Oryctolagus cuniculus: one gene and its partners. The protein of the gene in region 3 purifies or fractionates together with the protein of the main gene of each other region. This does not show direct contact. Links are inferred from orthologs where the notes say so. Each region holds a gene or a part of one and is shown on either strand. Other genes may lie near its edges.

What was found.
Region 1: the proteins of DDX6 (region 3) and PABPC4 purify together in Homo sapiens (affinity purification with mass spectrometry; 3 studies listed by BioGRID and IntAct, with this or other methods). This does not show direct contact. The link is inferred for Oryctolagus cuniculus from reciprocal best matches to the Homo sapiens genes DDX6 and PABPC4.
Region 2: the proteins of DDX6 (region 3) and ATXN2 purify together in Homo sapiens (affinity purification with mass spectrometry; 6 studies listed by BioGRID and IntAct, counting the BioPlex papers as one, with this or other methods). This does not show direct contact. The link is inferred for Oryctolagus cuniculus from reciprocal best matches to the Homo sapiens genes DDX6 and ATXN2.
Region 4: the proteins of DDX6 (region 3) and DCP1A purify together in Homo sapiens (affinity purification with mass spectrometry; 8 studies listed by BioGRID and IntAct, counting the BioPlex papers as one, with this or other methods). This does not show direct contact. The link is inferred for Oryctolagus cuniculus from reciprocal best matches to the Homo sapiens genes DDX6 and DCP1A.
Region 5: the proteins of DDX6 (region 3) and EDC4 purify together in Homo sapiens (affinity purification with mass spectrometry; 4 studies listed by BioGRID and IntAct, counting the BioPlex papers as one, with this or other methods). This does not show direct contact. The link is inferred for Oryctolagus cuniculus from reciprocal best matches to the Homo sapiens genes DDX6 and EDC4.
Region 6: the proteins of DDX6 (region 3) and MCRIP1 purify together in Homo sapiens (affinity purification with mass spectrometry; 3 studies listed by BioGRID and IntAct, with this or other methods). This does not show direct contact. The link is inferred for Oryctolagus cuniculus from reciprocal best matches to the Homo sapiens genes DDX6 and MCRIP1.
Region 7: the proteins of DDX6 (region 3) and LSM14B purify together in Homo sapiens (affinity purification with mass spectrometry; 4 studies listed by BioGRID and IntAct, counting the BioPlex papers as one, with this or other methods). This does not show direct contact. The link is inferred for Oryctolagus cuniculus from reciprocal best matches to the Homo sapiens genes DDX6 and LSM14B.

The regions. Positions count from the first base shown.
Region 1 is NC_091438.1:133,302,616-133,305,742, reverse strand, and holds the end of PABPC4 (polyadenylate-binding protein 4), read right to left. Parts: intron 2,230-3,127; coding exon 2,136-2,229; intron 2,035-2,135; coding exon 1,904-2,034; intron 1,657-1,903; coding exon 1,567-1,656; 3' UTR 1,554-1,566; intron 818-1,553; coding exon of another isoform or gene 800-817; 3' UTR 501-799; downstream 1-500.
Region 2 is NC_091452.1:8,929,688-8,933,187, reverse strand, and holds part of ATXN2 (ataxin-2), read left to right. Parts: coding exon 1-80; intron 81-2,004; coding exon 2,005-2,214; intron 2,215-3,500. UniProt on the Homo sapiens protein: Involved in EGFR trafficking, acting as negative regulator of endocytic EGFR internalization at the plasma membrane.
Region 3 is NC_091432.1:111,456,376-111,460,534, reverse strand, and holds the start of DDX6 (probable ATP-dependent RNA helicase DDX6), read right to left. Parts: upstream 2,801-4,159; 5' UTR 2,675-2,800; intron 2,103-2,674; exon of another isoform or gene 1,631-2,102; intron 1,612-1,630; exon of another isoform or gene 1,513-1,611; intron 1,435-1,512; exon of another isoform or gene 1,013-1,434; intron 1-1,012.
Region 4 is NC_091441.1:96,494,738-96,498,837, reverse strand, and holds the start of DCP1A (mRNA-decapping enzyme 1A), read right to left. Parts: upstream 2,801-4,100; 5' UTR 2,663-2,800; coding exon 2,468-2,662; intron 1-2,467. UniProt on the Homo sapiens protein: Necessary for the degradation of mRNAs, both in normal mRNA turnover and in nonsense-mediated mRNA decay. Removes the 7-methyl guanine cap structure from mRNA molecules, yielding a 5'-phosphorylated mRNA fragment and 7m-GDP.
Region 5 is NC_091449.1:51,116,081-51,120,070, forward strand, and holds the start of EDC4 (enhancer of mRNA-decapping protein 4), read left to right. Parts: upstream 1-1,190; 5' UTR 1,191-1,395; coding exon 1,396-1,477; intron 1,478-3,990. UniProt on the Homo sapiens protein: In the process of mRNA degradation, seems to play a role in mRNA decapping. Component of a complex containing DCP2 and DCP1A which functions in decapping of ARE-containing mRNAs. Promotes complex formation between DCP1A and DCP2.
Region 6 is NC_091448.1:1,048,568-1,052,635, forward strand, and holds the start of MCRIP1 (mapk-regulated corepressor-interacting protein 1), read left to right. Parts: upstream 1-1,268; 5' UTR 1,269-1,328; coding exon 1,329-1,405; intron 1,406-3,671; coding exon 3,672-3,725; intron 3,726-3,806; coding exon 3,807-3,925; intron 3,926-4,033; coding exon 4,034-4,068. Other genes in the region: PPP1R27 (protein phosphatase 1 regulatory subunit 27), read left to right, coding at 447-636, 733-883, 1,049-1,172. UniProt on the Homo sapiens protein: The phosphorylation status of MCRIP1 functions as a molecular switch to regulate epithelial-mesenchymal transition. Unphosphorylated MCRIP1 binds to and inhibits the transcriptional corepressor CTBP(s).
Region 7 is NC_091442.1:1,236,296-1,240,541, forward strand, and holds the start of LSM14B (protein LSM14 homolog B), read right to left. Parts: upstream 2,801-4,246; 5' UTR 2,601-2,800; coding exon 2,474-2,600; intron 1,365-2,473; coding exon 1,201-1,364; intron 1-1,200. UniProt on the Homo sapiens protein: mRNA-binding protein essential for female fertility, oocyte meiotic maturation and the assembly of MARDO (mitochondria-associated ribonucleoprotein domain), a membraneless compartment that stores maternal mRNAs in oocytes.

The DNA of each region.
Region 1 (3,127 bases), on a different chromosome or scaffold from region 3:
GGGCTCAAGGAACGAGAAGGAAGCATGGCTGGAGGGCAGGACCTTGTCACACTGAGGACTGATACAGTGCCTGTGTGCTGCAGTCACAGATCCCCGAACACTTCCCCGCACAGGAAAGCTTGCTTACAGAATCTCGGCAACTGCTAGACAGACCCTAACCAGCACAGTACAAGGGAAGGGGGACAGCTCATCAGCCCAGTTCTGCAGACCTTACTGCCTGTCCTTGGGCCATGTGCCAGCTGCCTCTACTCCACACTTCCCTGAGCCAGATTGTGATTCTTCAGACCTCTGTCCTCTGCACATTCCACGGGGCCAATACTCACTGATGGAACCTACCACAATACTGTGCAAAGGGACAGGGCCATAGTCAACAGGGCTGCACACCTGGTCATCCACTTGTAAACAGGAGACAGGAGCTCGCTCCAATCTAGTCACATCCAGAAATTACTTCTAGTGAAGACTGGAATTTATAGAATAAAACTGTGGTAAGATGGAGGCAGTTTTATGGAGATTTTTCTTTATTGAGAAACATAAGACTTGGGTACATCAAATAAAACCAATTTCCAGGGAAGGGGGAAAAAAGAAAATCAAAACCCACAATAGAAAAAAAAGTTCACACTGTCTGGGCCAAAGCAGAACCCAGAGAATATAGTCATATAATTGAAAAATTCTAGGTGCTTCATTAATTGACCTTTTGATACAAAATGACCTATTAAATTTGCAATTTGTGGTTCTTGGTGTTGAGGTCCATAGGACAAGCTACGAAGTCTTCAAACCTTGAGCTGAACTCCACGAGGGGTTATTTGGCTTTTGAATCCTGAAAAGAAAAGCACCAACACAAATACATAAAATAATTTCAGAGATTTCATTAAAATCTCGCTAGTAAGAAAATACTAGATCAGAGTTTCCCACCCTCAGCACTACAGACATTTGGGGCCACCTGACTCTGGGCCATGTCCTGTGCACTGCTTCCCTCTACTCATTAGGTGAGGGCTCCTCGGGCCGTTGGTGCACACCTATGCCCAATCAATCCTACTAACACTCCAGCTCTGGCCATTCCACGCACTCTTCCTTACCTTGCCTCTGCTCATCTCACCAAGCCTGCTACAGACAAAGTCCACAACCTTATGGTGAGTGGTCAAGTGGAACAGTCACATGTAACTATAGTCAGGCATGTGTATCTCTCCCTCTAGGTCCTGATCCTCGATGACAAAGCCTCTCTCTGGAAGCCAACCTCTGAACAAACCAGGAAGATGATACTCACAGAATGAGACTTTATGTCCTGATTAAGAGAACTCCTTGTAGACCCATCATTATTTCGGATCAACAAGGTGATTTGGGAGGAAGATTGGACCAGGAACTCTTTTTTAAATTCACAGCCCTGTACTCCTTCCTCCATATTAACTCATCTAGATAACAGAAAAGGCTCAGCAATGACCTGCACAAGTTATCAGGCTGGGTGACAGAAATGGCGTTCTATATACTGCCCCTCTTCTTTTAGTAAGACGTTCAAAACCAAAAACCACTGCGGAAAAATGAAATAGCCAACATACGGTTTTTCCATGTCTAAGAGGTAGCAGCAGCAACAGCGCCCACCTTCTGGGCAGCTTCTTTCTTGGCATGATGAGCTTGTAAAACTGCCACAGCTTCATCCACCTGTGAGAAACCTCCAGGTGGTCAGTGAGGCTGAGGAGAGCCATGTCACCCCTCCCCAGTGTCTGAGCCCAGGGGTGGAACACAGCCCAGTGTGGAAATAGCCCTTGGATTTCTGGTGCTGGATGCTTTCCCCATCACAGGCAAGGCAGGAGGACAACCCCACCCCCCACCCCCGGCTGCACCTGAGCGTCCAAGGGCACTGTGATCTAGCTGGGAGCTGAAGCTGTGGGGTCTGAGGACCACTCACCTTGGAGCGGAGAGACTCGGGGGACTCCAGCATGTGCAGCAGCTCCGAGTTGTCGATCTCCAGCAGCATTCCCGTGATCTTGCCCGCCAGGTTTGAGTGCATCGTTTGGATGAGCGGGAACAATCGTTCTCCTGTGGGTGGGACAGCTCATGAAGAACCAAATCGCTTCCCAGTAGAGAGGACACTGCTGTCTGGGTCAGCCACCCTCTTCTGCAGGCACATGGGCACTCACCCAGCATCTGTTTCTGTTCCTGGGGGGGTGCTGCAGCCAGCATGGAGGCAGTCAGGGGCTCTTGCCCCTGCACGTGGACAGCAGGCTGGGGTGCCTGGGAACCAGGAGAGGCAGTGGTTAGCATCAAGGACAGGACATTTGCTGGTGGCCACATCTGAACTGTCGACATGTGAATATCTTAAGCATGTCAAAGAGGAGACAGAAGCATCTGTCCTCTCAAACTGGTTTCAGTCCTCGTGGGATTAAATGATACGGTGAGGGAAAGTACACAAACCAAAACTAACGAAAATAGCATGCTATCAGTAGGAAAAGTGCAATAAATATACCAAACCTACAAAGCCAGGTCAGTATTTTCTGACATTTTCATTTAATTTGCCCTAAGTTACTTAAATTCCAAGTCTTGTTATATTAAAGGCTACAGCAAACATTTTATGTGTGTGAACTACCTGAGAATCAGCTTTTCTTTAGGGTGACCTCCAATACAGATGGAGTCAAAGGGTGCAAATATCACCCTTCCACATCACCTTCACTGCTAAGGACAGCCAACACGAATGCCAACGTCAGCCACAGCCCTAAAAGAGGACTTTGTAGGCAGAACATCTCTCCACACAGCATCAAGTTCTGGAAACTCCCCACCCTGGAGAGCAAGGGCACAGAGGTGGCTCAGGAGCCTTCTCCCAGCTCACAGACCTGAAGGCTGAGCAGAGTGGCACTACCACAGCACTGCTACTGAGCTCTACGACAAACTCACTGCTTCTTGGTTCGCCTTTAAGAGCACAGCTCTGGTGACAGCACACAAAGTTCTAAACTCTGGTTCCACCTCTTCCTGCCTTCATGTCCCCCAGTCATCTTGCCTAACAGCCAAAGATCAAACACGTCACCAGATGTTAAAGTGACCTGGATGGTCAGAGTTAAGTGAGATTGTGGATTCCACAAAAACAGGAAGCACCGGCTGTCCCTTCAGGGGCATTCCGTAGTTAACTCGCATTAGA
Region 2 (3,500 bases), on a different chromosome or scaffold from region 3:
CTCCATGCCATCAAGACCCACTTCTCACACTTCAGATTTCAACTCGAATTCTGGTTCAGACCAAAGAGTAGTTAATGGAGGCAAGTATTTTGACCATATTTGTCAATGTCATTGGTCACATACATACATAGTTTTCTAATTACTTAAAACAGTTTATATCACTGATAAGACAGTGTACACTCTTAATGATTTTTATGGGGTAGTTTTTATTTCAAAATTACTTGAAATATGCTTTTGTGGATATCAGACTAGTAAAACATAGTATGAATCATTTGTAGATTCAGTATTTAGTGTGAGGAAGTCTCATGTACTGAAAGAGTGCTAATTTTACACTTGATCTTAGCCAAAAGGCCGAGAAGCGATGAAAGAGTGCTAATTTTAGCCCAAATATCATTGCTTGGCCAAAAAAGACTCCACATATAAATTGGATACATTGCGTAGGTTCTTGATTTTTAAGACACTGATGAACAATAAAATTACATAGGTGCATTTTATATGGAAAATTATAATCTACGTGAAACATTCAATGGTTAATATGGATTCATTTTCCTTATTTATGTTGTGCTTACTGTAAGAGAGGATTTGAGGTACTTTGTAATACGAGGCATGACCCAGAATCAGGTGAAGAAGGTGATGAGAGAAAATGTGCTTAACACAACAGAAACAACTCTCAGTGTGAGGGTGGTTGTTGTAGGTCAGCGACAATAAGTCAGAGAAGTGGGAGACATTTTCTACTCTGCCTCTAAGTCTGGGTTACAGATTATATATATATTATAATTATTGTAACCTATATCATTGCACTGTGGATCTTTGATGCACAGAGGGATGCTGAACCGCAGCACTGAGGATAGTGTGGTGATCAGTGAGAGCTCGAGTGTCTTAACCTAGGAAGGCTGGGCACTTGCTGCAGCATCTCAGTTTAGAACTGTAGAGAGAAACAGAGCACTAGGTCTCCAGTTTCACTTGTTTTCTTTGTATCTTTTCTCCAGAACTCCTCTCCAAATGAACACTCTTGAGTATTTTTTGTACTTAGTTTTGGGGCTGAAATTTATTTGCTTACTGATAAAGATTTTTTAGGTGTTTATAAACAGAATTTTCAGAGTAAAAAACCTGAGGGGGCTGGGAAATTTATGATACTCAAGTGTGTGGAACTCTGTGGAGAGGAGGCCTGGACCCTCGGCTGTGGTGAAGGTAAGTGACGTGACTGTTGGCATGGTAACTGTGTGTGGGCCTGTGCAAGTCCCCCAGTGCCAGTTCACTCAGCAGCGACTGCTTTGTATTTTGGTTGTGTGTTAAGCAGTCTCTCAGAGAAATGTTCACTGCATAAGTGATGACTTTGAAGGTCTCCCCTTTTCTAGTCTGAGATTAAAGTAATTTTTTCAAAGAGCAGTGAATATAGGTCTTTGTTAATCCTGTGACTCTAGAAAATAGTAGAAGTAATGCTTTTATCTCTACTTAAATGGAAGCTGCTTAGAGAGATTTCAGACAACCTTAGATTCAAGGGTAAACCCAGTGAGAGTCGTATGTAATTGTAAGGAGCTGTGTTTTCAATTTGATACAGTAGATGCTGCTTATTTTCACTGCTTCAGAGCTAAAACTAATCTAGTAAATACTCTTATTTCTGAGTAGGAATTACTGTGTTTCGTTGTGTGAAATTATCTAGTGTATGTTATATCCTTTTCATAGTTAATTACTGAGACTCAGTTACAGAAGCAGGATAATAGGCACAGTCTTACCTGTCTTCAATAGTATGTGTAGATCCTGATTAACCCTTTGGGAACGTGTATTCATTTAAACAGATTTAATTCTAAGGAGGTTAAAGTAAAATGTGAATTGATGTCGGTTAAGTTATGCTAAAACTTAGCACAATTCAAATGACTGTCCTCAAAGGGTTAAAATGTACAAGAAATCATTTTTGTCATTTTACTTTTTTTTCTGTTTACTTTTTTCCCTCATTTTTTTCTTTAGTTTTTATACTTTCCTTCATATCATTTGTTCTGTCAGGTGTTCCCTGGCCATCGCCTTGCCCATCTCCTTCCTCTCGCCCACCTTCTCGCTACCAGTCAGGTCCCAACTCTCTTCCACCTCGGGCAGCCACCCCTACACGGCCGCCCTCCAGGCCCCCCTCGCGGCCATCCAGACCCCCGTCTCACCCCTCTGCTCATGGTTCTCCAGCTCCTGTCTCTACTATGCCTAAACGCATGTCTTCAGAAGGTACAATACCACAATTTGTTCATGTTTTTGTTTGTCTTTGTTTAACTCCTATGTGAGTTTATAATTACAGAAGTTTCCTCTTTCATTATTTAATAACCTATAATTTCCGTGTTTTAACTTTAGTTTATTAAAACTATTTCTATTAACCTTTTGTTCATTAGAGAGAAATTTGATAAATGCTGTGTGAAGCTATGAATTATGCTGAATTGTGAGAAAGGGGCTTTCTCTTTCTACCTGCGAAAGATGTTCCCTCACAGCCCCAGAGAGCGCTGCCCAGGGCCTTCTGCCTCCTGGCTTTCCTTGGGTGTAGTGGGTAACGGTAAAGAATGAACTTTGTTCACATAGGCCTGGCTGATTGTACAGCCTCTCATGTAACAGCCTTTTGGCCAGAATACTGGGGGATATTCCTGTGGGTCTGAAGCAGGAGTCAGTTTTGGGGGTGACATTCCATGTACCTGCCTCTTTGTATGTCTACCCTTAGATTATAATACAGTTTGTTTTTTAGGATGCTTGAAAGGTATTCTAAATTTAATTGAGTAATTTTTCAAAAGAAAAAGCTTTGTAATAATATTATGAGTGAAAGGCTGCTTTAATCTGGTAGAAGTTCTTGATCTAACATAAAATTATTGATTAAAAATATGAATTTGAATACTGAAGTATGTTTTTGACCCTTGTCAAAATCTGCCTTTGCTACGTGTTATAGAAAGATAACATTTTAATGTAAAAGCAGTGCATAAATTAAGAATCTGTGTGTTTTGAATGATAATGTTCTTTCGATATGAGTTGACAGTATTTGTGTTAAAAATCTGACTTTAACTTATTCCTTAAAATCATAATTAATACAGCTTATGTTGGGACTAATAAAGTTTCCTATATAACCTGCTTCCCTGGAAATATATATGTTGGCTGCTTTTGAATAAATGACTGCCATCCAGGCAGGCAGGGAAGTCATGTGACCTTGACTGAAGTTTCTAACTGTGAACAGCAAGATTTGCTGAGTTTTCGTGGTGAATTCCATACTCAAAAGGTCATGGAATAATGGTCACTAAATGCAAAGTCAGATTCTCTTGAGGTTCATACTGCAGCTTGTCATTTGAACAAGTGAGACTTGTATTGTGAGAACAGGTTGGATAAAACGTGCTTGTTAATGAGTGTGGACAATTTGTTTACACTGAGATATGAGGACTGTGTTGAACTGAGTATTCATACAGAAGTAATACTTTCTGCATTATTCATAAATGCTGAATGTCTATTGTTGAAAATTATCATTTGTAACATTAACACCC
Region 3 (4,159 bases):
TTCTCACATACACAGAGCTGTTTATTTTTAAAGTCTTCCTGAATCAGAGCACTTAGAGGAGGTTATGAACCTTTCCCGTATTGACAGCTTTAGATTATGATCAACCGTATCACATAGTTCATATAGGGAGACTTATTTGTTTGCAAAACATTAGGAGGATGAACAAGGCAATCTCTTAAAAACGAAACCGTATCTTCATTACTGCCCATCACCGCGCATCTCCCTAAATCCAAAATAAGACTATGTGCTAACTGCTCCCCTCTTAAACTGAAACCTGCACTGCAGCTTTATGTCTCAGAGAGGAAATATTCCTCCTACCCCTTCCCAATTTAGATGTGCAGGTTATAGTTCTACGTTAAGAAAAAAAAAAAAAAAAAAAGACAAAACGTAGACTATCTGGGAGGAGCCCCTGGTGGAATTAATTACAGCACTTCCCAGATCGTAGTTAGCAATTGACAGTTTCACACCCAAAACAGTACCGTCATCTCCAACGAGAGCTTTTGTTTGCAAATGCAGCGCAGTTTCTCCAAGCTCTGGCTGCAAGTTGGAGTGACTGGGTTTTATTCCGAAGAGAGGGAGCGGGGGATCGCGGAAAAGGAGTCAAGCCAGTGTCGGGAGCCCCGCAACTGTATGGCACTCATTTCTTCCCCTGCCTCCCCCCAGTCTCACACTTCGAGTCAGCTCCTTCAGACCACAAAAACAAAACGGTTGGGTCCCCGCAATCCTATCTGCGCAACAAGGGCCAAAACTCAGCTCCGCGGCAGCAAACAATAGGGACTGCTCCAATAAAGGGCCCGAAGAGACCCCTACAACCTAGGACGCCCCTCCTTCCCTCCGCGACCCGGGGGCTCCACCAACACCCTCTGTTTATCGACCTACAAGGCCTACTGCAATCAGGCAGCAGCCGGTCCTCCTCCAGCCGGAGCCCTCCAACACGGCAGATCCGTGCCGCCCCCTGTAGGGCTGCCTCGTACCCCATAACCTCCAACATCATCTCCCCCCCAGCCCTTACCGCCCCCTCGGGTCCCCACAGCCCCTCGTCTTCCACAAAACTCCTCGGAGCACTCGGCCCGCTCCTCCTCCTGACCCCGCCGCGCACTGCATTCCCATATTCGACTCCTCTGAGGCGCCCCCACCCCACACAGCTGCCGCCCGCCCTTCCTCCCCCAGGCCCGGCCAGGCCTTGGGCCTCCGCCCGGAGCGAACCCCTCGCCGGCCCGAGGGGCTCCCTGAAGCCCCCACGGCACCGCCGACCTCGACCCCGCCGCCTCACCCCCGCGCCCCGCGGCTCTGGCCCGAGTCCTACCACCGAGGCCACTCCCGCTCGGCACCCTCGGTCCTTTATTGTTGACTCGAAGCTCCCAAAATGGCGGCGGCTCCTTCCTCCTCGGAAACCTCCGCCCGCCCCCACCCGGCCCCTCGCTGTGGCCGCCCCCGCCCCCGCCCCCGCCGCACTCCCGGGGCCGCGCCGCCGGCAGCCCGCGCCGCCGGCTGCCGGGCCGCCCAGCCTACCTCCGCCGCTGCCCGCTCTCTCGGCGCCGCCGAAGTCGCCGCCGAGCTGAGCTAACTCGGCTGTCTGCCCCCTCCCTCGCCCGCCCGCCGCCGCCTCCCTCCCTCCCTCTTTCCCTGCCTCTCCGCATGGCGGCGGCCGCGGCTCCTCCTCCACTCAAGATGGCGAGAGCTCGGCTGTCGCGGCCGCCTGGCTTCCCTTCTTCCCTTCTTGACGGCGAGGGGAAGCCCGGCCGGAGAAGCTCCCTGAGGAGGGGGGAAGGAAAAAAAAAAAAAAAGCGGGCCGTTCTCTCACACCGACGGGTGGAAAGCTGCAGGGGGAAGCCCGGCTGCTGTCTGAGGGGACAGGAAGGCCGAGGAGAGATGCTCGGGGAATGGTGGCTGAGGAGAGTCGCCGGCCTTCACGCCTCCTGCGTGAAAACCCGGGGTTGTGACCAGAGGCGGATCTGCTTGTTACTGCCCCAAGACCGGTCCCCAGCACTGCCGGGCCGGAGGCGGGAGGCTGACCTGGCACCCCCGCGGGCCGGGGGCCGCGTCCGAGCCCCTCGCGCCGCGTCTCCGCCCGGGAGCGCGCGGAACCAGAGGCCCCCACGCGCCCGCCGACGCGCGCCCGGGGGCGGGAGGGGGGCGGCCTGGGACCCGCGGTGGGGAGGGCCCCGGGGCGCGCGGAGGGCGGGCAGGGGGGGTGTAGGGACCGCGCCGGGCGGAGACCGTGCGCCTGGGAGGGGGAGCTGCGGAGAGCACGCGGGGTCTGGGAGGCGACCCCGCCGTTAGGGCGCAGGGCTGGGCGGCGCGACCCCCCTCTACTGCCGAGATCCTCCAGGGAGGGGCCGAGCCTCCCCCCAGAGGGGAACAGCACTGAGTCGTCTCGGTGGAAGCCGGGCAGTCGGTAAAGATCTGGGCGCCCGCAGGCGGAGAGTTTTTTCTCCCGCCCGCCCCTCACTTGTAAAGATTTTTAGGCATTTCTCCTCATGATTACTTCTCAGACCCTAGCGTCTCCGTTTATCCCCAACAGAATAACAGAAATGCTGTGGTGTCTCAAGTAAGAAAAAAAAAATTTGGCTAGGCCGAGGGAAAGTAAAATCCTAGGTCGCACCCGGCTGGGAAGCGGAATATACAAACGGACAATGGCCAAAGCGTATGTGACAATAGGACTCCGACCCACCTCCGCAGCAGCGAGCCCAGAACGGTCAGCACTTGCTCACTGACTGGCAGCTTCCATGTTTTTTTGCCGCTGTGCCGCTGTCCCCAACTCGGAGCCAATCAGAGAAAGCCAAATATGCCGCCGCAACCAATCACGTCCGAGGCCCTGCTTCTCGCTCGCCCTCCTCCCGCTTCCCGGTGCCAGCACGCGCCAATCGCGGCCGACCTGACGCCTTCCCCGTTTTTCACCATGAAGCTTTCCTACTCCCCCGCCTGCCTGGTCCCCACCACTCCGAGGGGTCGTGGCTGCGGATCCTACGGCACGCTCTGAACGCAAAGCCTGGTCTCGTTTGGCGGTCTGGAAAGGCTGTCGAGAGCAGTGAAAAGACTACCCTTGACGTTAAAAAAAAAGTCCCCTTATTTTTTTTTTAAATTCTAGGTTTAGAGCATGCCATCTCCCACCCAGATTTTAAAACACCTAGTCGTGAAGAGAGAAACCCTGCACCCTATTCCATCCTGTAGAGAAGACGGCTGGGTGATACCGTGTGAGATCCTCTTTGCCTCACTCTCTTCCCACGTATCAGGTGTGTGAAGGGTTGGGAAAGGGGCTTCAGGATTTACACCAGGTCCCTTCCCCCACACTGCTCAAGGAAAGGGTCCACAAATAAACTGTAGCCTGGATGAGGTCACGACAAAAATGGGCAATATGAAATGACCACCCATCTCACCTAGGAGTCCTTCTGAGGCGAAAACCTTTCGAAATTCTGTATAATGATCTTTTAAGATGGGTAAATACTCTCACATTGTTGGCCCTTTTCAGTTTTCTGATGGGATACGTAGATGGTTTAAAATTAAGCTAGGAACCCTGGATCTTTTATTCTAGATTCAGCTTTAGTGGTTGATAGGTCAAACCATTTCAAACCATTTTGTCCTTGCTGTTTTCAAACAGATTAGCAAGAATTGTGAAATATGACACTTTAGGAAAAAAGATTATTTGGGGCTGCACAGACTATCATTTATAAAATGTATTTTTAGGGGGTTGGAGAGAGGATAGCTAATGGGTCCAGGGGTGCAGTTGGGCAGGATAACTCTGATTGGCAAGAATTAATTGAATATTTCAAAATAGCCACCTAGCTGCTTTCTCTCTAGGGTGAACACGAGGAACAGAGTTCCCCCCTTCTGTGTGACGAGGTATTTTAAAATCTGGGAGATGGTATGCTAGAAACAGAATTTGAAGAGGATTTTGAATGTTCCTAGCACAAGAAAAGTATGTGAGTCTGAGGTGATAGGTATGCCTGATCATTACATGTTGTACATATGTACATATGTATTGAAAATGTCACACTGGACTCTTAAATTATGATAATTTGTTGGTTTGAAAAATTATTTTTTAAGAAGAATGTAATATAAATCAAATCCTTTGGTCTTTTAGTTAACATGGAGTGGAATAATTGTGAGTACTCTGTAGCAAATACGGTTTCTGGAGGATGTGCCAGCTCCAGTGAGG
Region 4 (4,100 bases), on a different chromosome or scaffold from region 3:
TAATCCAACTCCAAACACTCCCTAAGGAGAACTACTTCATGTTTATGAGTAACTTGTTTTATTTACTGTAAAATTAACCACCTTTGAACAGGGAAAGTTAAGTCTCCCTCTAATGGCACAAATTTCGGTTACCAATTTCCTATGCATCCTTTCAATGCTGCTGATGCAGACATAGGCACATACAGACTTTAACCCAGCAACCTGTCTTTATCTGTAGCATTTTTCTTTTATAATCAGTGAAAGAGAAAATCACAGAACTAGCTTTCACTTTTTAAAGAAAATGTTTTGGCCAGATTTCTTAATTTTAATGACAAAGTCCTGTGGGCAACAATTTCTTAACTTTTTAAAGTTTATCAAACTTAACATAAAAAAAATGGAAATTTTCTTAGAGGATCCCTTGTTTTATCACTGGAACATTTTGGTATATTTTCATGAGTAGCACACCTTGTGGTTAAGAATTACTATCAACACAATTAGGTAATTATTTTTTAGAACTTTGCTAAAGAATCATGAATACTGAAATTATACTCTGCCTTAAATAATTATTTTATCTTACAAGTAATGCAAAAAATATTTTAAAGTGACCTTGATCAAGAGTACAACTCAGTATTACCTTTCATTTGTTCTGCCAGAGTGTATTTAAATTTCAAACAAAGAAACAATGTTGCAATGTCTGCAGTTCACCACTTGCTGGACCTAACTATTTTAATGCAATGAAGAACATGTTAAAACTTTACATGTTAGACATATCAAACCAAATTATTTGGGATAATTTATACATGTAAAAAATCTCAATATCTTCCAGTATTACCTTAGCTTAAATATAATCATCAATCTTCCTTCCTAAGAATTCAGAAGCTTTTTCTTGCCTTCAAAATGTTATTAGTATTAAATAACTGGTGATCAAATGTCTCAAAGAAAATTTGTCCCCCAAAAAACACAGAACAGAAAAAGATGTGGTTATGCTCTATGAGCCGTGCTTCAATACATAAAAACAGCAGTTTATTTTTCAATTGTACTAGGGTATGGCAAAAAAGCTTGTGGAAAATGAAATTAAAATTATTTCGGCACAAAAAATTCTGAATTCCAAGCATTTTTTTCCAGAATATGTATTTTCCATGAACTTTTTTTGTAAACTGTTTACATCTCATATATAAACAAGAATTTTAGTTTAAAATTCTAAAATATTCAAAATGTATCAACAACTAGAAATAAGAACTTTTTAGGCACAAATTACAGTCCCATTCTTCCCCATTTGTTGGCAATCTATATTTCACAAACCAAGAGAAACGACTGAAAACATTTCAAACTAAGGCAATGTCTAAAATAGCTACACTTAAAAACACTCTATATTTTCATTCTCTGTGACTTCTCATGCTTCCTGTCTTCCAGGTGGTAAGAAAAAGATCATGAAAATTCTCTCCATGTGAATTAACTGTTGGTAAATGCCAGATGATTTTCATATAATTACTGACAAATATAACCTATGCATCTGTATAGTAAGGGACACAGTATGACAATCCTCCACAGTTTTGTTGAAAACTTTCACGCTCACTGAATGTCTGTGCCAGTCACTGACGAATTCAACGCAGCAAGCGTTTACTTAGTAAATTCTAGGTGTACAGCTTATGGCTGAATGAGTGAACCAGGGAGGGTCCGCAACCAGGAAACTGTTATTTTAACAACTAAAAGTACTTCAGGCAGGGACTAGCAAGAGCTGGTGAACAGAGAGAAAGTAACTTTTCAGACTCCCTCTGGTGCCCGAAAGCCAAAGTATTCAGTCCGCTGGGAGTGTTCAGAGGTGACATCACCGGTCTTTTTCCTGGAAAAGGTCTCCAGGGAATCCAATTAACACAGCAGCCCCCCTCCTAAGTGCCTTACGATCTTTTCCAAAACTCCGGAAATACAGGTACGAGTTCGATTAAACCTGGACTCATCCCACGCCCTCCCTCCCAAGAATTCAGACTAATTGGATTTCAAGTTTTAAATCCAAATGACCTCTGCTAAGGGGGCTCTCGTTTCTGTCCGCTGGGTGGCGGGGGTGGGGGGGAGGGGTGCTAATCTTGCAGATCATATATACATATGTAATTTATCCAATAATCCTCTAATCAGGAAACAAGCTTTCAGGGCCCATCTGACCCCACTGGTCTCACATCCTCCAGTGCACAGAAGAAGGAGGCAGGTCGCCCACGTCCTCAGACCCGAGCCCAAGGGACTGATCCTGGTCCAATCGTCCCCTCTGTCAGCTTTTCCCTGGGATGTCTCAGGCCCACTTCTCCTGTTCCTCTGCCCGAATCCCGGACACCCCCGACATCCCTCAGCTTCCCACCCGCCTCTTCGCCACTCCGCGACCTCACCTCCGCCGCCCTGGCCTCCAGCTTCGCCCCCCACACCAGGCAGCCCGCGCGGCCCCTTTAAGAGGTGGCGGCGGCCAGGACGGAGTCCTCAGCGGTCGCGCATCACTCACCCACTGGTTAGCCTTGGGACAGAAGGTGTACAGAGCGACCTGGCCCGTGAGGTCTGCGATGCTGGTGATGTAGGGGTCGTGCTGCTTCAGGGCCGCCAGACTCATCTCCTGCCCAGCTCGACTCAGCGACTCCATCTTGAATCCTGGAGCCGAGCCCCTCCGGTGGGGGCGGAGTCGCGGACAGGAAAGTGCCATCGAGGAAAAGTTCCCCCAGCTGCGTCAGCCCTCTCAACTTCCGCCTCTCTGAGGAGTCTGACAGCGGGGTGGTACAGCAGCCATTTAGCTCCGCCGCGCGCATGCCCCGGACGTCGAGTTCCGGCGTCGGCAGGTCCCATCCGCCCGAGCCGTCGGGGGCGGCGTGCGCGGCTGCGCGATGGGGCTGGCTGGAAGCGTTTCCTGCCCTCAGGCTGCGCTGTCCAGGTGAGGGAGGTGACGGCTGCCAGGAGAGGCTGGCGAGCGACGCTCCCTGGGATTACAGAAAGGAAACCCTGCTGTGGAAAAGGCTCTGCGGGCCGTTTAGAAGGCACGGAGAAGCGTGGGGCAGGGGGGCCTTAAATGACCCTCACTGATGTCGTCACTGATGGTTTCCGAAAGGAGAATTCGAGAACCTTCTTGGAGCTCCACAGGAGTGGCGTTTCCTTCGCCTGGATCCCGCGTGCATATTTTCAGTCAGCCCTGGGAGGAGCCCGTGGGGATTCGAACTCGTTTGGAACCTTATAAAATTTTAAATAGGTCACTCCTTTTGGCGAACATGTACTGAGCGTTTTAAGGAATCAGGTAGTAGCTAAAGAGTAAAACAAGTGAAAACTGTAGGGAGCTTTAGCTCCCCCCACACTTCAAAAAGCAAGTTTTTTTTTTTTTTAATTGATGGGACACCCCAACAGAATTGAAATGTTTTGAAGGGAAAACATGTTCTCCTCATAAAAATAGCACTCATGTCTGCAGCATGTACCAATGCTGGCAAAAACAAAACAAAGCAAAACAAAACAAAACAAAACACCACTCATTTAACTTTTGTTGTACAGGTGTTTATGGAACTCCTAATTGTGAAAAAGGGGCCGTTTGGAGCTTCCAAGTCTTGTTTAAGACATCTCCCTGGCTCCCTGAGAAAGGGAAAGAAGTAGGACAATCTAAGGAAACAGGGATGATGTTAAGAGACGTTGCTCTTTGATACCCAGAGGATGGAGCTACTAACTCTGGCCAGGGAGAATCTAGAAAGGCTTCATGGAGGAGGTGACATTGGGCTCAGTGCTCCAGGGATGAGCAGGAGTTCATCAGGGAAGAAAGGTAAGGGCTTTGGTTCATTTTACAGTGAGGTAGGAAGATGATTTAATTGAAGCCAGGGAGGAGAAGGCACTGGTTCGGAATTCCACACCAGTCAGCGGGGATCTGGTATTAGAACCCAGGGACTCCTGCCCTGTATCTTGAGATTTTTTCCCCCTCCACACCACAATTGCCTTTCTCTTCCCAGTGGCTGGAAGTAGCAGCTTTATTCCCCTCCACCTGCCTTCAATCCATTAACAACAAAAACCTCTGTACTATAGATATGTATTTTAAAATAGGTAATATACTCACTAGGTACAAACTGCAAGAGGCACAACTGAAACTGAATTTAGGTTTTTTTCCCTTGTAT
Region 5 (3,990 bases), on a different chromosome or scaffold from region 3:
TGTGCTACCTGTGTCCAGAACAGCCAGCCTCCGTTGTACTCAGAGGCAGGCCCCATTGGGTTGGAGTAGAGATACGGAGCTATGGAAGACAATCTGAGTGTGAGGGTCTCATGCTCTCACCCCTCAGACCTCTGCAGGGAGTTTCCAGGCCTCCTCCTAGTCCCTCCTGATCTTACACACACACACACACACACACACACACTCCACATCGTCTTCAAATTCCAGAAGTCTTAACTATTAGGGCAATTTCTGCTTCTCAGTTTTGGGGACAGAGGCCTTGCCCAGTGCAAATGTAGCCTTGAGACCTCTGAATGGTATAAACCTAAGGGCAAAATAGCAACTGCAGGCCGGAACCCAACCTAGGATTTGGGCTAATGCCCTGAAAGGGTCTTAGGCTCAGTGAGGGCACCATAGCCAAGCTTGACCTGCGAATGGATACCCTTCATCTCCACTGTGGGTGGAAGCTAAGGACTCCCTCAGATGCCACAGTTTGCCTGGCTGCACTGGGCACAGGGCTGGATAATGTGCTGTCTGCGGAGACAGCGTATCTGGGAGATTTCAGTGGGACTGGATCTCTAAGCTGCCGTGTATGTGGGGGTGGGGGAGAGGTAGAAGCTTGCTACCTCTTAAACCACCCTGTATAAAATCTGCAATACAGCTTCTTCCATGTACCTGTGCCTGAATTGTCTGCAATAAAGAGGTGTTTGTAAACTGTGGTTTCTTTCTTCCTCCTTGAGTGCCAGCTGGGACCAGGGCCGGCTTGGGGACACAGGAATGATTGTGATCATTGTTAGTGGGGTTGTCACCCATGTCTTTGTAGTTCCTGAGCTTTATGGCTTTGCAGGTCCCCTCAGACTAGACTATCCCCACCCATTTCCCAAAGGCAACTAAGGCTCCTGCCAGTTCAGCGAATTCCTGAGAGACTGAGGGACCACAGCCTGGGCGGCCAACATGTAGGATCTCTGTTGTAGGATCGTCATCAGTTACATTTTCGGAGTGAGCATAGACCAGGCGAGATTCCTGAAACGAGTAGGTTTAGGGTGTCCCAGTACGTGGACATTCACCCTGTGGAACTTCCCTGACCCTACCGGCACAGAGACTGCTGTGAGCCCAGGCAAGCTCCGGAAAGCCGAGGTATTCGTCACCAGCCCGGAACCTTTGTTCTCTAGTTCTTTCAGGTTCCGGGAGCGGAGCTTCGCGGGGGCCGGAAGTGGAGGCGGTTGGTGGGGTTGGTGGAGCTGAGGACGCAGCGCGGGCGGCAGTTTGCTAGCTGCGGGTGGACGGAGTAGTGACCTGCGTCCGGGTGTCTGGCCCCTGCGAGGCTGGGCGAGACTGGGCTGTGCGCGGCCGCGGTGGAACGAACGTCGTGCGGGTGGGGCGCCCGCGGCTGGGCCCATGGCCTCCTGCGCGAGCATCGACATCGAGGACGCCACGCAGCACCTGCGGGACATCCTCAAGCTGGACCGGCCCGCGGCGGGTGAGCGGGGATAGCGGGTGTGGGCCCTCAGCGAACAAGCAAAAGGGATGCGTGGGTCTGAACCGCTCTTAGGGCCCGCAAGTCCCTAAGGACTACGTCTGTATTCTCCCGACCGGTGAGGGCGTATGGGAGTCGGAGCCTTGGATCCCTGAGCTTACCCCGCGGTAGGCGCAGACCCCTGAGTGTGACTCTCCCCATCCCCGCGCCAGGCCATTCTTCACCTTCAGCGTTTCGGCTGAAGGTGAAGTCCCCCTCTCTGAATCCACTGGACGCCTCTGGTTTCCTGGCCTCAAGATCTGTTCCTGGAGCTGTCTCAGTGCTCTTCCTCTTTGACACGGGTTCAGCACCTGCAGGGCTCCCGCTCTGTATACCGAGTTCTGGACCTGGATTTAAGCGTTGTGCTGGAGGGATGCTGGTCCCCCTCTGCACCTTGCCTTTCCCTCTGGAATGCAGAACCCAGGCCTGTTGGGAAACTGAGTTCCAGAAGAAAGGTGGCCAGCCCCAGGTCCCATCTGTCTGAGTTGGAGGCAGCTGCGCTGATCGGGTTAGGCTATAGCATCCACAAGCTCTAATGTGTTCCCATTCATTCAGATTTTACTCGGGCTCTTAGTGAATCTCAGAACTGCTTTTGACCTCAAAGAGCCTTCAGGACACAGAGAGCTAAGGATTGTGATCTAATGTTGTCGTGGAAAGAGAAGTGTTTTGATGCTTTGGTGGGAATAGGTTTGAATGGGAGCTGGAGATTGCAGAGCACAGCACTGACAGAGGAGATTGTGTAAGCTGGGTCTTGAGTGTCAGGAAACGCACCCAAGACAACTACATAGAAACCTCCTATTTATTGCAAAAAGGAAATAGCCCATGTGAAGGCACTCAAGTTCTCTGACAGGCTCAGGGATCTGTAAAAAGCTGTGATGGTTCAAGGATTGACTGGTGATGGTGGGGTGGGTGTGCAGTGGCCTCAGCTGAGAACTGATGTTTCCTCAGACCTAGTTCTTCCACCTGCTGGAAGGTTCCGCCCGACCGCTTCAGGCACCGATGCTCACTCTGAGTGGATTTAGCTTACCCAGACTGCCTGTGAAAATCTACCTGCTCTCTTAGACCACTGGGCTCTTTGCCCCAAGCCTGGAGTGTGTGCACCCCTTCTTGGGAGCTTGGCTTGGGGCGTTCGTGCTAATGGGCTGCTGAGCAGACTAGACTCCGCAGAGGTTCAGTAGAGCCTGGCATGGCCAACTGTGTGCAGCCTGGGCCTGCTGTTTGCTTATCCTCATGGTAGGCTGCATGGAAGGGAGAGTGGCCGGCTTATGCCTGAGCAGCTAAGGTGGCTCGCATTGATTTGCACTTCGTTTCACTGTTGGAAGCTCTTGATTGTCTCCTCTTGTTGTAGGACCTCAACCTGTTTTGTGACTGGAAACTTGCCACATTCCTAAATGTGGAGCCATAGTTTCCTTGCCACTTGGAAATTTAAGCAATAATGTCTGAGCCTATGAGAGTGTTTGAGACCCAGCTGATGCCAACAACTGAACTGCTGTCTCCCCTGACTCCACACCCACCTCACTGTTTCTCTTCTCTGTATCTAGCTCCTTCGAGTCTGTTCCTTCTGCCTTTCCTGCCTGAGGTAGCCTCTTCTGAGCTTTTTCTGTGTGGGCAGGGCCTCTTCCTTTCATATCCCCACATCCGATCAGTGTCCTTCTCTGCCTTGGGTACTCATCTCCTCTCCAAACCCTGCCACTATCTTGGTCTAGGCCCTGTTGTCAGTAAATTCTCAACTGTTTTGTATGCTTCCTTAGAGCAGTCAGCCCACTGGCAACAGCTGACCCTGCCACTTTCCCCTTTAAAACTCTTTTGTGGCTCTCATAGCTCACAGGGAGAGTCTGGGTACCCCAACATCATACTTGAGGCCTCTGCAGCCTTGTTTCTCCTCTGTCCTCCTCATGTTTGTGTTCTGGCCACAGTGGCTATGGTGGTGCCTTCTCTGTGAAGTCTTTCCTAACTCTTGCCATTCCCTTCCTCAAGTACACAGAGTTCGATGTGCTAATTGGCCTCAGAGGGTCCTTGAAGATTTGTTCACTTCCTGCAGGTAGAAGAGCCTCACGCTCAGCCTTGTCCTGGTATACATTAGTTTATTGGACAAGAGATGAACAAAGGGCTCTCTTTCCCATGAAAATGCCTTGCTTTGGATCTGGCGTTGTGGCATAGCAGGTACAGCCATTGCCTGCAATGCCAGCAGCTCATGTGGGCGCTGGTTTGAGTCCTTGCTGCTCTACTTTTGATCCAGGTCCATGTTAACACACCTGGGAAAGCAGCAGAAGGTGGCCCAAGTAGTGGGCCCCTGCACCTACATTGGAGACCTGGAAGAAGCTCCTGGCACCTGGCTTTGGCCTGGCTCAGCCCTGGCCATTGTAGCCATTTGGAGAGTCAAGCAGCAGATGGAAGATCTCTCTCTAGCTCTCCCTCTCTCTCTGTAACGCTGACTTTCAAATAAATAAAATCTTAAAAGATAGAGAAACAAAAAT
Region 6 (4,068 bases), on a different chromosome or scaffold from region 3:
CCCGGGGAGGCCGGGGCAGAGGGGCGCCCCCCACACGCGGGTGCCCCTCCCCGTGAGCGCAAGTCGGTTCCATGGGCAGCTGGCCTCGGGCAGGTGAGCCACCTCCCACACCGGCCCTCGCCGCACCACGGCCTTGACCTCGGCCGTCCTCGGCCTCCTCCTGCCCTCTGTCCAGCACCTTCTACGTCCAGCTGTGGGGCAGGGAGCGGTGGCCAGGAAGGATCTGACCCCTTTGGCAGGACACACGACAGGTGGGCCGAAAGACGAGCCGCTAACATGATCCCGAGCCAGGGACGGGGGCAGCTCGGTTTCAGGCCCTCGCGACCGGCAGCGTGACCGCGCGGCTTTATATAGCGCCCGCCGCCCTATATAAGCCGGAAGCGGGGTGCCCGAGGAAAGAGGCGGCTCGCTGCTCCGGCGCGCACCCACTGCCCCCCGCCCCCGGCATGCCCAGCAGGACGGCGCGCTACGCCCGCTACAGCCCCCGGCAGAGGCGCCGCCGGCTGCTGGCCGACCGCAGCGTGCGCTTCCCCAACGATGTCCTCTTCTTGGACCACATCCGCCAGGGCGACCTGGAGCAGGTGGGGCGCTTCCTCCGCGCCCGCAAGGTCTCGCTGGACACCATCCACCCGTCCGGTGAGCGCGCACCTGCCGGCCGCGGAGGGAGGGGAGCCCGCGGCCTCGGCCCTGGCCCTGGCCCTGGCCCTGACCGCCGGCCCTCGCCCTGCCCAGGCCTGGCCGCGCTGCACGAGGCCGTGCTCTGCGGGAACCTGGAGTGCGTGAAGCTGCTGGTCAAGTACGGCGCGGACATCCACCAGCGCGACGAGGCGGGCTGGACGCCGCTGCACATGGCCTGCAGCGACGGGTACCCCGAGATCGCCAGGTGAGGGGCGGCCGCGGGGAGCGCAGGGGCCCCGCGGCCTTCGGGGTGTCCGCGGCTCCCGACGGGTCGGGTTTCGGCGGAGCAGCGCCAGAGGGCGACGCCGGGGGCGAGCGGGCAGTGTCCGCGTGCGCGTGTCCGCGTGCACACGGCGCCCTCTGCCCCCAGGTACCTCATCTCCCTGGGGGCCGACCGCGACGCCGCCAACGACGACGGCGACCTGCCCTCCGACCTCATCGACCCGGACTTCAAGGACCTGGTGGAGCTCTTCCGAGAGACCAAGATGGACTGAGCCCGCCCCCGCCTCCAGGTGGATTTTTTATGGTGACACTTTGTACTTTTTCAATAAACGCGACTCCCGAGCCCGCAGCCTGGCCTCGTGACTGGGGGCCGGCCCGCGGGGGGTCGCCGTCCCCGCCGCGCGCGGTCACGTGGCCCCGCGCCGCGCATGCGCCGCCGGCCGTGGCGTCACTTCCGGCGGGGCCCCCCAGCTGGAAGAGGCGGCGGCGGCCGAGTCCGGGCGAGGTGAGGCGGGCGCGGCGCCGGGCGGCGGGGCGGGGCGGGCGAGTGGGCCCCGCGTCCGGCCCCGCCCCGCGCCCGGCCCCGCCCTGGGGTCGCCGCCGGGGCCGGGCGCGGCCGCCGCGAGGGGGAGTGACCGGGAGGCCGGGCCGGGTCGCGCCGTGCGGGCCGCGAGGGGCCCCCGGCGTGCAGGCGCGGACGTGGCGCCCGGCCCGGGGGCGGCCGGAGGGGTGCGGGCTGACCTGGCCGTGCCCTCGCGACCCCCTCCGCGCCGAGGCCCCGCCTGCCCCCACGCGACCGCGGCGTGGATGGCGGCGCTGCGGGGCCCCGGCCCGGCCCGGAAGCCGCCCGGCGTGGCTGCCCGTCAGAGGCGGCCCCGTCTGCCTTGCTCCCGGACCCCCGGCCATGAGTCGGGGGGTTTGGGCAGCGCAGGCGGGGACCGGGCCGGACCTGGAGTAGCCGCCCGCGTGCGGCCCCTGCTGTTTGGCCTCCAGGACAGCAGCGTCCTGGGGCACCCGGGTCAGCAGCTCGCGTCCAGGGTCTTGCTGGCCGAGGAGGGGCCAGAGCACGCAGGGGAAGTGGAGTCTAAGCAGGAGCCGCACAGGCGCCGGAGGGCCGGGCGCGGCCGGGGCTGTGTGCAGGGGCAGGGCCTCCGCAGGCGCCTTCTGCCCGGTCCTGGCCCGGCCCGGCCGCGGCAGTGCCCGACTGCTGGGAGGGGCAGGGGCGCGGGGTCCGCCCCCGGGTGCCAGCTGCCTCGCCCGCAGCGGGGGAGGGGTCTTCCTGGGCCCCGCGGGCGGAGCCTTCCTCGCTCCCCCCCCCCCCGTCTGGCTGTGCGGGGAGGAGCCCCCAGACTCCGGTGAGGTCGGGCCTCCTGTGTCCCCAGGGGCTTCTTCTCCTTGGATGGGGGTGCCGCACCCTAGGGATTCACAGGAGGAGGCGGGGCAGGGGCGCTGACCGCCGGCCACCGGGAGCTGTGGCCTGTGCGCCGGTGGTGGACAACAGCAGCCGTGGACCCCAGGGCTCTGTGCTGGGACCGAGGTGGGGGCGAGGCCGCAGGCCCAGAGGCGAGACGTCCCTGGGCCCAGGCCCCGATTCCGGCTCCCACTCGCATGCACCCTTGGAGGCCGCACTGCTGGCTCCGGGGACGCCTGGCCTCGGCCTGGCCGCCATGGGTGCGCAGGGAGTGACCAGCAGGTGGGCGCTCTCGCTGTCTGCCTCTCAGAAACCAAAACCTACGGGTGGGCCGGGGGCTTGGTGGCCGGAGGGCAGGAAGGGCGGGCGGCCAGGGTCCCCGGGAGGGTGTGAAGCAGGGGAGGGGCCGCTGCCCGAGGCGCCTCATCTCGCGCTGCACCCGGTCCAAGGGAGAGAACGCGCCCGGTTCAGAACCTCAGGCGCCGAGCTCCCCGCATCTGGCCGGTGTGGGCGGTGGCCCGGGGCGGTCACTGGCCGGACACGCTCTGTGCCCCCACTCACCGCCACCCAGGCTGCAGAGCGGCGGGCCAGCGTCCTGCCCACCCAGGGTTCCCTTCTCCCCAGCCACGCCTCAGGCCCCACACCCTCCGTGCCGGCCTCTGTAGGGACCCTGGCCTGGGGGACACTGAGGGCAGGACGTGGCTGGGAGCCAGGCAGCCAGAGGAGCTGGGGCTGGGTGGAGGGAGAGGCAGGCAGGCAGGGCGGGCGGGAGGCCCAGGAGGTGGGCGCCGGCCAGGCCCGCCCCGAGCACTGCCCTCCTGGTCACCTCCATCCGCTGTGCACCCCCGGGCAGCGGGCGGGAAGCAGAGTTCACCTGGTGAGCCAGCCGGGTGCTGCCACGGGCGCCGCCCCTTCCTGCCTGTGTGTGTGTGTGACAGCTGAGTGGGCCGTGGTGGGAGCCCCCTCCTTCAGCTGCAATGGGGCACCAGGTGGCCAGCGTGAGCCCAAAGCTGCTGACCTCACGAGGCGGCAAAGATGCCGGGGCCCAGAGCCCCCCCCCCAGGAGACCCCCAGGAGCCCCCAGCACCCTGGTCTGAGTCCACTTTCAGGACACTCCGGGCTCGGGCCCCGCCGCAGGGGCCCTCACCCTCAGGAGGCCGCAGGCGCGGTGTGCCTGGGCTGAGCCAGGTCCACCGGGACCTCGGAGGGGGCCCTGAACCTCAGGGGCAGCTGGCAGGGTGCCCTGGGGCCACACGGCCTGGTCGCAGCTCCGCGGGAGGAGGCAGGTGTGCCCGTGCCCTCCCCACTGCTGCCCAGGGCCGTGCCCGCCCCATTCCCGGCTCTGGGGCTCCTGTTTCAGAGGCCGAGGGATCTGGCAGCGGAAGGCCAGGACCAGACGCCCCGCGATGAGCAGGTGGGTCGTGGGCAGCCGGGGCAGGGTGGCCCCCGCCCTGCCCGGCGCCCGGCCCGGCCCTCACGCGCCGGGGCCCCCCAGTTCCCCTGTCTCCAGAGTCGTGTACAACGGCAGGAGGAACAGCAGCCCCCGCTCGCCCTCCAACAGCAGCGAGATCTTCACCCCCGCCCACGAGGAGAATGTGCGCTTCATCTACGAGGGTGGGTGCGCTGCCCCCACCCGCCTGGGAGCCCCGTGCTGGGCGGGGGCGGGGAGGCGGCGGGATCCGGGCGGCCACGGCCGCCCTGACGGTGCTCGCTCGGCTGCAGCCTGGCAGGGCGTGGAGAGAGACCTGCGGAGCCGG
Region 7 (4,246 bases), on a different chromosome or scaffold from region 3:
TTTGTGTCCTGCCCACCCCACTTCCCACCCAGCTCCCTGCTGTGGCCTGGGAAAGCAGTAGAAGATGCCCGAGTGCTTGGGCCCCTGCACCTGTGTGGGAAACCCAGAAGAAGCTCCTGGCTCCTGGCTTCAGATCGGCCCAGCTCCAGCTGTTTCGGTCATTTGGGGAGTGAACCAGGAGATGGAAGACTCCACCCCCCCATCTGTAACTCTGCCTCTCAAATAAATCTTAAAAAAAAAAAAAAAAAAAGATTCCAGCTGCAGCTCTCCGGCTCCTGCGAACGCGGATGGGGGTCTGTGGTGACCCTCAGGTTCCCTGGGTTCCGGCCACCGCACGGGGACCTGGGCTTTCAGACTAAGGCTTTGTGCTCTGTTCCCGGCCACGGCAGGCACGTGGCAGCTGGGCCAGCACCTGCGAGTTCTGCTTCTCTCCCTGTCCACACAAGTGCAGCAGCAGCCACGGTGCCACTGCAGTCAGGGAGCGCCTGGCCCCGCGCACGGGCACAGCCCGGCTGCGGCTGGGGAGGCACGGAGCAGCTCCGCGTCTGCCTTCTCTCCGGCGCCCAGCCTCGGGGAGACAGCTGCCTCCTGGCAGCCCAGTCCTTCCTCTGACGTTTCGTTTCCATCTACTTGACACGCAGAGAGAGAGACCAGGGAGACAGATCTCCATCTACTGGTTCACTCCCCAGACGCCCACGACAGGGCTGAGCCCTGCTCAAGTCAGGAGCCTGGGCCTCCCAGGTGTGTGGCAGTGACCCAAGCGCTGTCTCCCAGGCTCAGCAGGAAGCTGGACAGGAAGCGGAGCGGCCCAGCCCTGGCTCCAGGCTGGGGGAGTCCCGGGAGGCATCGCTTCCCGCCCCGCACACTGGGAACCCGGCACTTCCCCAGGTCTGACGCAGGCCCCCACGTCCTCCCCGAGCCTGGGGTGGTCTGACCCCCAAGGGAGCTAAGGAGGACTCGGGCCAGCCACGAGCAAACACGAGCCACAGGGCTCCCTAAAAATCCCAGGCGAGACAGCCACACCCAGCAGGGCGGCCCGCGGGCGCATCTCCCGGCTCACAGCAGGCCACGAGGGCACGGCCGCACGCCCCCCTCCAGCCTCCTTCCCCAGGAGCAGGCGGCGGGAGCCGAGCCCCTCCTGAGCGGCTCTCCGCAGCCAGCCCTCGCACACACCCAGCGGCTGGGGCGGCGCACACCGACCTGGACGATGGCGGGGTCCTGAGGCAGAGCGTGCTGGGCCTTCGGCGGCTCACACACCGTGATGTCCTTGATGTCGCTGCCCCGGAAGATGATGTACTCGTAGATCTCCTCTCTCGGGGGTGCAGGCCGGTCTGTGGGGCGATCTTCGGTACCAAACGACCGCACTTGGGTTGAGAGAAAGCAGCGTTACTTGTGTCCTCCCGCGGGCCGCCGGCCCCGAACGCGGCCCACCCTACAGCACCGCGTCCGCTGCGCAGGGGGTGGCACCCCAGGCACCAGCCCGGGAACTTCTGGGCGGGCTGCTTCCCTGGCCGCGTCCCGCGCCTCCATTCGCAGGTGCACGCACGCCCGTGCCGGGCGCTCTGGGCGAACACAGCTCTTTGCGAAGAAACCACCTGGCTGGCAGGTGAGGGGAGGACATCCGGCGGCAGGGGCCCGGAGCAGGGAGCTGCCCTGGGACACGCCCCCACGCCGCTCCACCCACAGGAGGGGTCCGGCTCGGACCCCACACCAGCTTGTCTACAAGGAGTTCCACAAACGTCCCTGCGAGAGTAACCTGCGGGCACCGGGCTTCCGGGAGCCCCCACCCCTCCCCAGGGCTTCCAGTCCGAACCCGCATCCAAGCAGCCTGCACCTGCGGCCCCCGTGTCCCAGCGAGCCAAGCGCCAGGCGCGCCAGCGGTCCCGGAGCCCCTCCCAGGAGTCGGGACGACCGCGTCCTGAGCGCAGGGTTCTGGGGACCCCGCGCGCACGCAGCCCTCTCCCCAGCCCCCCTGCAGGACGCAGACAAAGAGAGCCGGGGGACCCTCGCCGAGCACAGCTCAGACACAGAGCCCGCGGCGGGGACGGCTGTGACCGGGGCGCCCCGGCCGGCGGGAGGCTCCCTAGGAGCGCCCGGCTCCCGCGCGACGACCCGCTCCGGGTCCCAGACGCGCAGACCCGCATTTTCTCCGCGCCGCCACCCCGCCCAGCCTTCGGGCTGCCCCGCCCCCCGGCAGGTGAGGACGACGCGGGGCCGCCCGGGACCCAGCACCTGCCGAGGGGCGGCTCCGCGCGAGCGGGCGTCCGCGCACAATCACGCGCCGTCGCGGCGGAGGGAGACCATTGTGCCCGGGGCGACGCGCCGCGGGGGCGGGGAGGCCCGGCGCGGGTGGGGGGGCGCCCCGCGGACCGCGGGCGGGCGAGGTGGGGGCGGGGCGCGGGCCCCGGCCGGGTGGGCGCCCGGGGGTGGGCGTGGGGGCGGGGCGCGGGCGGTTGGGCGCGCGGGCCGCTACCTTTGGCGAGCGCCACGGTGGAGTTGTCGGTGTCGATGGTGTAGAGGATGCCCTCGTAGCGGATCTGCGCCTTGGAGATGAGGCTGATCTTGCTACCCAGGTACGGGGTGCCCGAGGAGCCGCTCATGGCGGCCGCGGGGGGCCGAGCGCCGGGCCGCCCGCTCCGCTGCCGCGCGGCCTCCGGGCCGCCCGCTCCTGCGCCGCCGGGGCGCCTCCTGGCCTCCGCCCGAGGGGCCTGCGCGGGCACCGAGCGAGCGAGGCCGGGGCGCGCAGCCGGTCTCTGAGAGGAACGCGGGGGAGGAGCGGCCGCCGCAGCCACATCCGGGGCCCCGAACCGCCACGCGCCGCCCCCGCACGCGCGCCGCCCATTGGCTTGCCGCGCCCGCCGCCCTTTAAATATGGCCGCGCCGCCGTCCGCGGGGCGGGCCCGCGAGCTGCGCCTGCGCAGCTCGGCGCTGCCGGCCGGGGGCGGAGCTGCCCGGCGCCCCGCCCCCTCGCCGCCGGCTCCCGGCGGGCCCCGCGCGCTGTGAGCCGCCGTGGGCGAGGTGGGCGGGGCGCGAGTGCGCAGGGGGCGGGGCTTCGGCCTGTCCGGCCCGCGCTGCCCTGCGGGGTGGCGGGCAGCGAGCTGGCGGCCCTGCGAGCGCGCTGCGCGGTCGCCTCTGGTCCGGCCCTCGCGCCCGGGACCTGCCGGCTGCCGACGCCCTGAAGAGAGCCCCGAGCGGCTCGGCCCGGTCGCCCCCCGCGCGACCCCCGCCTCGCGCTCCCATGCATGTGGGCGTGCGCGTGCTGAGCTTCGTCTCAAGTTAAAAAAACATTCGAAGAAAAGAAAAAGGAAAAAAGGCAAAACAAATCAAAACGAAAGAAAAAACTTATTTGTAAGGCGGAGAGAGCTCTTCCGTCGGCCGCGTCACTCCCCAAACCCCTAAACAGCTTGTCCGGGCCTCGTGCGGGGCCCACGCGCGGCCAGCGGGGGCCCGGGGGCCGGAGCCCTGGCCTCTGCCTCCCAGCAGGGAGGTGGGTCCCGAGCAAAGCCAGGTTTGAAACCGGGCGCTGGACACGGGATGCCCCAGGGCCCTTGCCCACCCTGTCCCCGCCTCGGGGCCGCCGAGTGTCCCGGGGAGGGGCAGGGCCGGCCCTGGACAAAGCGCAGGGAGACAGGGTACAGCGAGTCGGAGCTGCTCTGTGGATCGTTGGTTTCACGTGTCTGTGTTGACTGAACTTGCTCAGGGCGCGAAACATTAACCGGGCGGTCACCTCACACCTGCCGCTGTGGCCCCACCGGAACCGGAACCGGAACTGGAACCGGGGCAGCTGGCCAAAACCAGCCCCAGGAAGCAGAAGAGAAGGTAGCAGGCCTCAGCCACTGTGGGACTGTGTGCTCCTGGGGGTGTGCTGGGGAGGACAGACACGGCCCAGCCGCGAGGAGACCCCCGACGCACGCGGGGCAGCCTTCCCTCCCCGGGAGCCCACTCGGGCGGGGGTCCCAGGTGCCGGCAGGGCCAGCAGCCTCCGTGTTGGGCTGGGGGCGCTTTCTTCTCCCAGGAACCTGAGGGCCTGATCTCGGGGCCTCCCAGTGCCCACCTGGCTCCTGGGGTGCGGCCGCGGTGCAAACGCCCAGCAGGGCAGTTGTAAGCACACACGCGGCGCCCAGGTCCAGGGATGCCGGGCCTGCCGCCCACGCCTTGATGTCCGCCGTAGTGGAGGACACTGGGGACGGCTGAGGAGGGGGCCGCTGCCGTGGCTCGTTCCCCAGGCTGGGGCAGCCTCCATGCC